3 linked regions of the Mus musculus genome follow. The protein of the gene in region 3 interacts with the protein of the main gene of each other region in a pairwise test. Links are inferred from orthologs where the notes say so. Each region holds a gene or a part of one and is shown on either strand. Other genes may lie near its edges.

Region 1 (3,749 bases), on a different chromosome or scaffold from region 3:
CCGGACTGCCGGGAAGCGAGCGGCACCCCGGCTAGTGTGCGTGCCTGCCTGCGTGCGTGCGTGCGTGCGCGCGCGCCTGCCTGCCCGCCCGAGTGGCCAAGGCGGGGGTCGGCCCCGCGCTCCGGGCGCGCCTCTGCCACGGTCCCCAGTCGTGACTGGAGGCGGAAGTGTGGGGACAAGTTCGAGCGTCACTGGCTCCCCACACGTCTTGGCGTGACCTGGGAACTTTCCCCGGCGTGTGCAAAAAAAAAAAAAAAAAAAAAACCCAAAAAACAAAAAAAAACCACGGGTGCCCCCTCGGCCCTGGGTGGGGACGGGCAAGGATGCACCGGCGTCTGGCGCGGGAGGGGGACGAGGGCGCGGGGCAGGCAGCCACATGCGGCGGGAGCCAGGGAGGGAGGCGGGCCGGGCGGGGCATGGCGGGGGAAGTGACTCAGGCCCGAGGCTGGCGGGCCCACGCGAAGAGGAGTCGGGGGGCACGGAGGACCCCGAGCGGACAGGCTTTAGGCTGGACGGGACGAGAGTGTCACCCCCCCCTCCAGGCGTCCAGGGTGGAGCGCGGGGGCGGGTCCAACTGCGGGGCCCTGCGGGACAGGGGTCTGACATCTGGGTAGAGGGCGATCGGCATCCAGCCCTGGGGGAGTCGGGAGGATCCCAGTGGCGTCCAGCTGTGCAAACAGGAGGAGGGCCAAGCCGACTCCGGGGAGAGGGGCGACAGTGCTGCTCCAGCCGCCGCCGCCCGGGCGCCCGCGCTGCGGGCAGTGCCAGCCTCCCCGGCCCGACGCAGAAACTTGTTGCAACCAACAGGCGACCGCGGGTGCCCCTAGCCGCCAGCGGCGGAGTGGGTGGGCGGGCGAGAGGGAGGGGAAGGCTGGCGGACGCCGCCGCGAACTGGTGGGCAGACCCGGAGTCGCCGCGTAAGCGGGGCCGGCTCAGTGCGGTGCGGCAGGCGCGGCTGTGCGGCAGCGGAAGTCCTTTGTTGCAGCGCAGTCCCTGGCAGAGCCCGGAGTGTCTCGGCGCAGCCCAGCCGAGCGCCGCGCGCCGTCAACTGCAGCCCGCAGCCCCTCGCCTCCGCCCGCCTTCCCAGCGGCTCCGCTGCCCTCAACTCCATAAAACCTCCGCAGCCGCGCGTCCCACCGCGCCCGGTGAGTAGCTGCCAGTCGTCGGGGCCATTTGCGCAACTTTGGCCGAAGCTGGGCCACGGGCCTGGCGGAGTGCGTGGCCGAGGCGGCGCCGACCGGTGCGGGGAGCCGGAGCGTGGAAAGCGCGCGGCGAGGAGCCGGTGGCGGGGGTCTGCCGAGCGGCTTCGCTCGGGGCCGGCCGTCAGTCCGGTGCGCGCGGCCTCTCCGGGTTCCGGACGAATCCCCTCTCCAGACGACTTCCCAAATTACTTCTTTTCCCTTTATTTTATTTTGTGCTGGGGGGGTGGGGGGAGGGGAGGTGGAGGCGGGAGGCCGCGCTTGATTGACGGGCCCAGAGCGCGCTTCGCTAACTTCCAGCTGCGGCTGGGCGGCCGGTGGGAGGGGAGCGTCCCGGAGCCGGAGGCCGCAGACTTGGGCGCGCTCCGAGGGAGGAGGCGGCTGGGCCGCGCGGATTCCTGCTTCGCTCTTTCCCACCCCCGCTCCTCAGCACACACGCTTTTTGTTCGGGTCCAAAGTGGTAGGTCTCGGGGGTTTGGGGGGTTTTCTGTGTACGAGATCCTCCCCCCCGCCCCCCGAGTCCCGAGAAGAAAGTGCTTTTTGCCTCCAGTGGTGGGCGCTTACAAGTAGAAGTTCTGGTGGAGGCGGTGAGCTAGTTGGGTGGCGATCTGGAGTCCTTGCTGCTGAAGCGTGCAGGCGTGGATCTGGGCTCAGCCGCCGCTCCCAGGCTCCCTTTCCACCTTAGCCACTCGTCCACGTGATCTGAGGGCTTGACAAGACATTTTCCAACTCGGACGGGTCTAGAACAGGTTAATGAAAGTCCTTGTTTTCTGGGGATAGGGTTTTGTATGTGTGTGATCATGTTCCCAAATCGAATGTCGCTGTGACGGTACATGTAGATTCTCCACTGGTCAGACTGTATTTCCGTACAGTATGAATCGCTGCGGCAACATTTTCCCCTTTGACACTGGAATCCACAAAGCGTTCCAAGCATTTCCCCCCGACCCCCACCCCGTTTTGAGACAAGGTCTGGCTAGGTAGCCCAGGATCGCTTGGATATAATTCTCCTGCCTCAGGAAATCCTAAATTTTGGGGTGATAGGCTTGTTCTGAGGCTTTCCAAGACCACTTAGAATTTCTTGAGCCGAAGTTTGAGGCACCCTGAAGTCGACTGGGGAAATCGATGTAGTTCTTATGACTGTTTTAAAGCAACCATGTTTTTTAAAAGGTATAAAATAGGTTCTCTGGAATTTTGTCACCTCAAATGGATATGATCTGGAGAAATGGAAAGAATGAAGGTACAAGAGGCTGAAGCCCAAATGATGGATGGATGGTCAGTTGCCTAGAACTGTAAAACTTCCCTTTTGAATCACTATCCCCTAAAGTCTCAGTAATACTGAGTGGCATTGGTAGCTGCATGGGGTTTCTTCCTCTTAAAGAAACAGACGGACCTAACGCAGCCGAGGTGCAGTGCAGTGCTTTTCCAAAGGTTAAGGCTTAGAAGTTCTGCGGTACAGTGCTGTGTTCCAGCCACTTGCACTCATTTTAACACCAGAATTTCTCCGTTGACAGCAAGTTTTATAGGGTGTGGTTGTGCACGTCTATAATCCCAGCACTTCAAGAGGTTGGATCAAGAGTTTGAGGCTAACCTGGACCTGGCATACATAGCGAGACCTTTTTTTCAAAAAACAAAACTCAGGGCTGGAGAGATAGTTCAGGGGTGAAGGGCACTTGCCTTTCCTTCAAGAAGAACTAAGTTTGACTCCCAGCACCCATCCCAAGCAGCTCACAACTACCTGTAACTTCATTTCCAGGGAGCTCTGGACTCTAGAACAATTGTACTCATGTGCACACCCCTCCCCCCACATACATACACATCATTAGAAATTAAAATTTAAAAACCCAAAGCCTCAGTTTTCATGCTGTTGAGTAGACCTGGTTGAGCAGTCTTTCCAGCTGGCTGTGTTCTTCCAGTTCCTAACATTATGCCTGCTGGTTTGCACCACTGCTGCTGTGTCGTTGTCAGGAAAGAACCCATTTTAACCAGGCCACGAGCACAGCTTCCTGATCTTGTAACTTGGTTTTTGGTGTTTCCAGACAAGTGTTTTTCAGTGTATCCCTGGCTATCCTGGAACTCACTCTGTAGACCAGGCTAGCCTCAAAGGCAGAAATACACCTGTCTCTGCCTCCTGGATGTCAGGATTAAAAGCATGGATCACCTTGACGGCTGTTTTATGGGGTTTTTTTGTTTTGTTTTGTTTTGTATTTTAAAGCTAGAGTCTCACTGTTTGGTCTGGGGCCAGCCTTAGCTTTTGGTCCTCCTGCTTCAACCTCTCACCTAGTGGTGGGATAACGGGCCTGCACCTCCACCCCAGCCTTCTGACCTTGTGGGGTTTTTGTTTTTGTGAAGCAGGGTCTCACTCTTGTAGACCAAGCTGGCCTCAACCTCTTGAGGGATGTGCCTGCTTCTGCAGCCACAGTGCTAGGATTACAGGTTTGTGCTGCCAGTCCTGCTCAGGACTGTGTGTTTCTATGTCATAGTAGCTGCCAAATGTTTGTACCTTCTGCTTCCTCATTCCTCCACACTCCTCCCTCCACTTTTGTCAGTACA
Region 2 (3,649 bases), on a different chromosome or scaffold from region 3:
CTGTGCCACAGCTGCAGCTTTGAGTAGCACGAATATAAAAGTATCTTAAGTCCCAAGTGCGCAGGCTCCAGGTGTCTCAGCTGAGGGATACTCAGGCTGTATTCTAGGAGGCGGCAGGGGGTCACAGGCCTGAAGACTGCTGATGTACATACATCGTGTACATAGATCCAGTGTGCACCATATACATAGATCCATGCCCTTATCTAAGCTCTGCTCAGACCTGAGCTGTTACACCCTAGTGCTCACTCACAGCCTCCTCCATCCCGCTCTAAACTGGTCATCTCTGAGTGACCCAGTCATCTGACTGAGGGGACCCAATTTAATTTCCCTTCTCTTAATTTTTTGCCTTCTTTCTCCTGTTCTGGGAGCGAGCCTGGCCTGGAATGTTTTGAAGCAGGATATAGCATCCAACATAGCTTAAAGACTGATGGTCTCCGGCCTTCTAGCTCTCTAACTGTAATAAATGCTTGCTGATAACTTATTTTTAAAAAAATCTTAAAAGCTTTCTTGCTTATTCTGTGGTTAAACACTGTTGACTTGTTTTTAACTCTGTGTTTTATTAAGCATAAAGAGTTATTTAGTTCTCTAGACTTAAATAAGCACTAGGGAAATTTAACTCTGACTGTTCCATGCTTCATTGAGGCTGAAACTTAACTCTGTATTACCTGTGCTTTAGTAAGTGCTGATATCTGGAGATTGGCACTTGCTGTTTAGCAGCAGGGAACTAAGTAAAGGGATCCATTGCCAGTGCTCCCTTCTCTGGTGAGTCGCCAGAAGCCGCTCTGTAAGCTCCTTAGCTCTCTGTGAACCAGAGAGCAAGGAAAGGACAAGAAACGAATTCAGATGCTTCCCACAGGCCAATATGCACAGACACACATGCATTCATACGCTCACATGCTGGCCAGGCCTGACTGTCTGTCACAATCAATTCCACAAGTATTTATGTGTGCTTGCATATATACATATACCTACACACATTCATATAGACAGACAGACATACACTTGGATGGATGGATGGATGGATGGATAGATAGGTCAGAGCCCCCCAAGCCAAACAATTCAACAACTTTATTTCTTTTCTCTGGCCTTTTAATACCTTCTTAGACAAAAAGTTCACTGTTTATCTGTGAGAATTACTTCATAGATAAAATGTTACAGAAAATGGGAATTGCAGAAGGATGCTGATAATGAGTTCAAAGCAATGTTTCATTCTATTATGCTCATTGTAAGTTCAAACCAATAGTTTCTACATGGCCTTGCCTTATATCATAGTGCACACTGTGACTTTATCCTTGGACCTGAATGTTTCTTCTTGAACACAAATTGTCCCAAGTCCATTTCTCTTTTAGTGTGATTATGGAAGTGTGATTATGTGTTTCTTACTGTGGAGCCTGTACTTCCTGTTAGGAAGAGAGGTCAGAGTCTATTCCTGATTCTAACGTTATTACATCCTTCTAGCAGCTAAGACCGTCTTTAAAAACTCTTTTCCTAAAGTTATTTGAACAAATCAGGAATTCCACAGAACCATTTGTCTATATAGCATCACTACAAAATAGTGATTCTTTGTAGATCTGCAGAGATCTGCTCAGAAGGGTGGGTCAATACCTAGTGATTGCTTTATATTTAATAACAGGAAAAGCATATTAATAGCAGGAATCTTTCCTCAAATGTAATCTCCTTGGCCTTGCCTAAAAGAAGCGAATCTGTCATGGCTTTGCAGTCCCTAGGGGAACCATCTCAGAAGGTCACCTGCTAGTTCTTAGTTCTTAGCTTCTCCTAAATGGCTCCTGGCACTCCTGGCAGGTATTTTTTAAAATTATTCAAGTATTTCTGCCCTCCTTGGGTGTTAATAACAAATAAGGGATATTTCATGTAGACACATGTCTGACCTGCACCTTTGGTACTGTTTCTCTGTGATAACTTACCAGCATTGGTACATTTTCTTATAATTTCATGTCTTAATACAGCAGAGAGAAACATGGTAACCATGAAATGATATGGAGAGAATGAGAATTAGTGGTCTAACTATAGCTAATCTCTGCAGCTTATTTAGTGGAGCTGCCTCTCACTGAGAGACGCAACTCAGATCCCAGTCCTGCCTCTTGCTCTGTGGCCCCGGCCTGCTTCTCTCAGCCTGCATCCTGCCTTTATGCACAGTTAGAGGATTGACTTTGTGGCAGTATTCAGCACAGTATTGCATAGACAGGGGCTGCCTCTCTTCAGACAGATGGAAGAGATCTGTCTGGATTGGGGAGTGTCTGTGTCCTCAGTGTTATTAGGTATTAGTTAATGGAGAGATTTTAACAGTCAGATGCGGTGCCCTGGTGTACAGCCACTGCGAGCTGCTCTTTATTCCGTCTGTGCCGTAGGCTATCTCCGATATAGAAGATGACTCTGGGGAACTGAGCAGAGACAGCGTGTGGGGCCTTTCCTGTGACACTGTGAGAGAGCAGCTGACAAACAGCATCAGGAAACAGTGGAGAATTTTGAAAAGTCATGTAGAAAAACTCGATAACCAAGGTAACTACTGCCCCAGGGCATGCAGAGGGGGTGCTGCTGTTCAGTCCCAGGAACAGCAGTGCTGTGGGCTCAGAGGTCTGCGCACAGCCAGGGTCAGACTCTGCCTGGTTTGCTCCTGGTTTTGCACTCACTGAGAGAAATGCACTTGGCTTCAGAACAAACCTTAGAGAACAGTGTCGCCCATAGTCTAGTGTTGTTTGTGTGCCAGCAAACGGGGCTATCATGCCAATATAGGTTCCCCGGGAGCTTACACAGGCAGCTGTATGCCACCTAACAGGGGTGCTGGAAGCAGAGCCAGGGAGCCAGGGACCTCTCAGGAGCAGAGTGCACGCTTACCCTCTCAGCTGTCTCTCCAGCACTAACATTTCTGTGTAGTAAGTGAAGTCTACTTAAAACGTATGGAAATGATGAGACCAGTGAGTCTTGGTCCCAGTGCCACGAGCTGTGCAGGGCAAAGGGCGTGGTTCTCACTGCAGCTCCCTCACCGAGTTGGATGAAGTGTGCTCATGTTCTCAGTCCGTTTATTAGAAAGCTTGCCTGGATTTACAATGTGAACTCACAGTTGTTAGTACCACTCTCCCAAGCACCATCAAGAAAGTTGATACGTTTGTGACTTTGTTAGCATCCTTCTGTGGTTGAGCCAGTAGCTCCTAAAGACTTGGAGGTGAGAACAGAGGCATCGCACCGTCATGCCAGTCTGAATAATTGTAGTTGATAAGCCAAGGGTTAGCGGCCGTGCTGCCTTGAAATCCATTTGGTCCTAAAATTGTGTGACTATATATACATTGTCAGAACTCGGAGCTGTTTTTCTTTAAAATGTTTGATTTTGTCACAGTTTTGAAAATGCAAAATGCCAGAGACAATAACTCCTTCTTACAAAACCCAGAAAGGCAAAAGTTGTGCAGTCTTTTGATTTTTAAAAGTCTGTTCAAGATTGTGAGCTGGCAGTGGCTGTGAGACCTGTTAGCTTCCAGTTGTTGTAGTTAGCGTTTCTCTTGCTTTGATGAACAAGAGCAGAAGTAACATGGGAAGAAAAGGTTTGTTTACCTCACAGCTCACAGACTGTCAGGAAGGGAGGGCGGGGCAGGAGCTGAGGCACAGGCCATGGAAGGGTGCTGCTATTGGCTCG
Region 3 (3,740 bases):
TAGAAAAATCAAACCCTTAATGCATACAGCAGGGAGGCCAGAGTGCGTGTGTGAGTGGTGGCCATGGGGAGCTTGGTGTCAAGACTCCTGTATAAAGGTTTTAGGATAGTTCATTACCAACACCCCTTTTATTTTTTCTTGCTCTGTGATGATACAGTTATTCCTTACTTCTTATGGCTGGTGGGAGGACAAAATAAAGAAGAAAATGCATGATAAGGGTTTATTCTGCTAAAGTGTCCATCAAAGACTATTTTAAAAAATGCAACAGAAAAGGGGCAGGCCCTCCATATACCTGTTATTATCCCCATGTTATGTGATAATGAGCTTTTTTGTTGTTGTTGTTATACCTTTTATGTGACAAATTGATTAAAGCACTGCAAGTTTCTTCTGAGTGGTCGTGTGGTCTCCCACTGTGTTAGGACACCGTGTTTGCTTATGCTGCACACAGGGAGAATCTTTCTCATCCCCACCCATTCCCACTCCCCCTTTCATCAAAAATAAATGCCTCCTCCCCCCCCCCAAGAAATTATTTCACAGTATCTTTAATGCTCATTTTAACGTTTATTTATGGTGGGGTTGCATACATGTTTTGTAAAGGGTGCTAAGTGCCTACACTGAGAACAGTCCAGTTCAAATCAGTCCATTCCACATGGATGCTTCCTGTGCCAGTTGAAGTCATATGGAGAAAGGCCTTGACCTTTCTCTTGCTCAGGTCTGCGTTGCTGTTAAGTCCTGCTAACTCTCCAGGGCCTTCTTTGTCGATACAGATCATCAGTCCCATACAAAGAACAAGATACAGAACACCTCAATGTATTTCACAAGTTTAGCACAGCACATCTCTTGTACAAAAATGCACGAAAGCACAAAAGTGAAAGTACCAAATACTTATCACACATGCATCAATCTTAAACACTACACGAGTACACAAATGAATAGCATTACAAGGTACAAAAGCACTGTATGGAAAACTTAAAAATTATACATGAAATACTGCACTGTGGATTTGGGATACTCTAATGACTCAACCCCACCCTTACACAGCCCTAGTATGGGTCAGAAACTATCAGTGTGCCCCTGGACCTTTTTAGTCCTCAGAGACACTGCTGCGGGGGGCCTGGGCAGCAAGATTAGCCTCCCGCAGAGCTCTGGCCTGCTCCAGAGCCTCCCTGTATCGGGAAGGCCACGCCTGGGGATCTTTCTTGAAGACTCTGGCCAGGAACTCCATGATCTGCATCTTGGTGATTTCACGGTTAGCTCTGGACCCCCAGAAGAACTCGTACTCGGGAGGCTCGATGTGGGGCACACGCTGGTACTTCAGGTAATTCTGCTGGACGAACTCCTCGGTGATTATCTTCCTCACGTCTCCGAAGGTGGAGTGCTTCTTCCAGGGCCTCAGCCCCAGGATGCGCAGCACATTCCAGACCGCACCCTCTCTGGCCCCGCGGCCCTTCACATAGATGAGGCTCAGGATCATGAGCAGGAGGCCTGTCATGGGCATACGGTTGTTGAGCGCCACCCTGTCTAGCTCCTCTGGGCTGAGGGCTTTGACCAGGGCAAACTCCATGGTGTGGAGATTGGTCAGCCTCAGGTGCAGCCCGAACACTCTGGCGAGGATGACGCTGGTGCGCCTGAGGATGCTTCTGCACCATTTCTTGTAGCTGCCCATGACCTCTTTCACCATGTCTGGAAACCAGAGGACCATCCTCTTCTGGTCCTTCACCAACACGTACCACATGAGCTCGTGCGCCTTCTGCACCAGCTGGGCAGGGGCTGGCGGTGCTGGGATCGGCCGGGCTGGACTCTGGGGCTGGTGGGCGCGGCCCTCCTCTGCGGCCTGCTGCAGGATTTTAGGGTCAACATCTTCTATCCGTTCTTCGGGCGGTGGCGAGGCCTGTTGGGCTGCCATAGGGCCTTCGGGAGCGCACGGTGGCCCTGCGAGGTTAGCGGCCAGAGAAGCGGGAGGAGGGATCCCCACCGGAACGGCATCGCTGTCCTGCATCTCACAGTCGGGGACCTCGGCTGCAAAGTTAGGGTCGCTCAGGTCCTTACTTTGTTCCGACATGTCTGCGCCTTCGGATCAGAGCAGGACCGATGCGGCTTGGAGCTCTTGGAGCGGGCACTCCCTCGGTGGAGACCAGCAGAGGAAGTGCGCTTTACTGAGCACTGCGCCTTCCGCAGCAGCGGGCGGGCGGGGCTGATGCGATATTGCGCATGCGTGTTGGGAAGCCAGAAGGGTGGTAGGGCTGGAAAGGAGCGAAGCAGCAAAGCCCAACCACTGGGGTCTAAGGGAGGGTACCACTAGGCTTATGTAAAAGATTTCCTGGTCTCCTGTATGGCACAGAACTAGATGATGGTAGGGAAAGAAACAAGTTGAAGGAGAAAGATGTAGCTGAGATGGTGAAGTTAAGTTCGGACACACTGAGTTTGTGCAAAATCAAATTAAATGTGAAGGTCCTGGAGAAAGACTTAATTCTTGATTTTGGTTTTTCTACAAAAGAATAAGAGAAACAGAAATGACTTTTTTTTCTTTTTTCTTTTGGAAAGCTGTACCTTATGATGATGATGAGTTGTTTAAGATTGGAATATTGAGAAATTATTAATAGAGATAAATTCTTACATATCTGAATGCAGATCAAACAAGGAAGAATGTAAAGTGTAGTTACAGACACTGGAGATAAATCCATGTGAGATTTGAATGTTCTAGAAGTAGTAGATTCATATAGCATAATTGATGGGAGTTTAAAATTTTAATTAAAATGAGACTTGGTTCAGTGGTTAAGAGCTTTTGCAGTTCAAGCATGAGAACCAGAATTTAAATCCCCCAGGCCCCACATGAAAATGAGGGATATATAAAATATATATATATGCATTCATTCATCATTGGATGCTCAGTTTGTTGGTTTTGAATTATTTTAATAACTATAGATTTGGGCTCTCCATTTCTATTAGGTCACTTTGTTTTCATCTAAAGCTTCCGTTAAGATTCTAGTGGAAAATGATCAACATATTTATTAATACACATTTTATGACAGTGTATTTTTCATATTTTCCCACTACCTTTTTGCCCTGCTCACTGCATCTTCTGCGTTTATAAGAAATCTTCTACTTCTTAAATTATGTCATTCACAAATGACTAATTCCATGTTGGGAGCACATCCAAATCTTTCCCAATATATTTTAAATGCAGCTCTTTTCGATACCTAACAGTCTCTCATGAATAAGATGCAACATATTGGTGTCCAAAAATAAAAAGGTAGATCGAGAGGTCATCTAAAGCTGATATTTCCTCAAACTCTCCTTTATACAATGACCATTGTTGAAGCTTCCAAAGCCAGAAGTCCTTAGATTTGATCATCTTTCTTGTTCTGAAATAATGGAATTCCTTAGCCCTTCTCATCACTTAAAGCGGACAGATTTAAGATATCATGTTGGCATTCCTAGGTTCTAAAATATGTTTGTTTAGATATAACAGCTATCTTTTACCCAGAATAGTTATGGCAAGAAGCGATTCAGAGTTTTCCAGATTTGAGAATATTTGCACATGTACAATAACTTGTTTTAAACTCCAGCCTAGACGTGTTATTAGTTTGCTTCTTATTGACATTTTTGAAGGCAACACTTTCTCTCAGTTGTGATCTACTCCGCGAGCTCTGATGTGGAATTTTTCACTTGTGACATCCTGCATATCCTGGAAAAAGTTTCAGATTGTATATATTTGAGATTTTATGTGTTTGGGCTAA

What was found.
Region 1: the proteins of Ndn (region 3) and Zbtb1 interact in a two-hybrid assay, tested with the Homo sapiens proteins (2 studies listed by BioGRID and IntAct). The link is inferred for Mus musculus from reciprocal best matches to the Homo sapiens genes NDN and ZBTB1.
Region 2: the proteins of Ndn (region 3) and Ssx2ip interact in a two-hybrid assay, tested with the Homo sapiens proteins (2 studies listed by BioGRID). The link is inferred for Mus musculus from reciprocal best matches to the Homo sapiens genes NDN and SSX2IP.

The regions. Positions count from the first base shown.
Region 1 is NC_000078.6:76,369,586-76,373,334, forward strand, and holds the start of Zbtb1 (zinc finger and BTB domain-containing protein 1), read left to right. Parts: upstream 1-934; 5' UTR 935-1,145; intron 1,146-1,511; exon of another isoform or gene 1,512-1,659; intron 1,660-3,749. Other genes in the region: Zbtb25 (zinc finger and BTB domain-containing protein 25), read right to left, coding at 1-606.
Region 2 is NC_000069.6:146,428,560-146,432,208, forward strand, and holds part of Ssx2ip (afadin- and alpha-actinin-binding protein), read left to right. Parts: intron 1-2,369; coding exon 2,370-2,520; intron 2,521-3,649. UniProt on the Homo sapiens protein: Belongs to an adhesion system, which plays a role in the organization of homotypic, interneuronal and heterotypic cell-cell adherens junctions (AJs).
Region 3 is NC_000073.6:62,346,730-62,350,469, reverse strand, and holds Ndn (necdin), read right to left. Parts: upstream 2,194-3,740; 5' UTR 2,063-2,193; coding exon 1,085-2,062; 3' UTR 542-1,084; downstream 1-541. UniProt on the Homo sapiens protein: Growth suppressor that facilitates the entry of the cell into cell cycle arrest.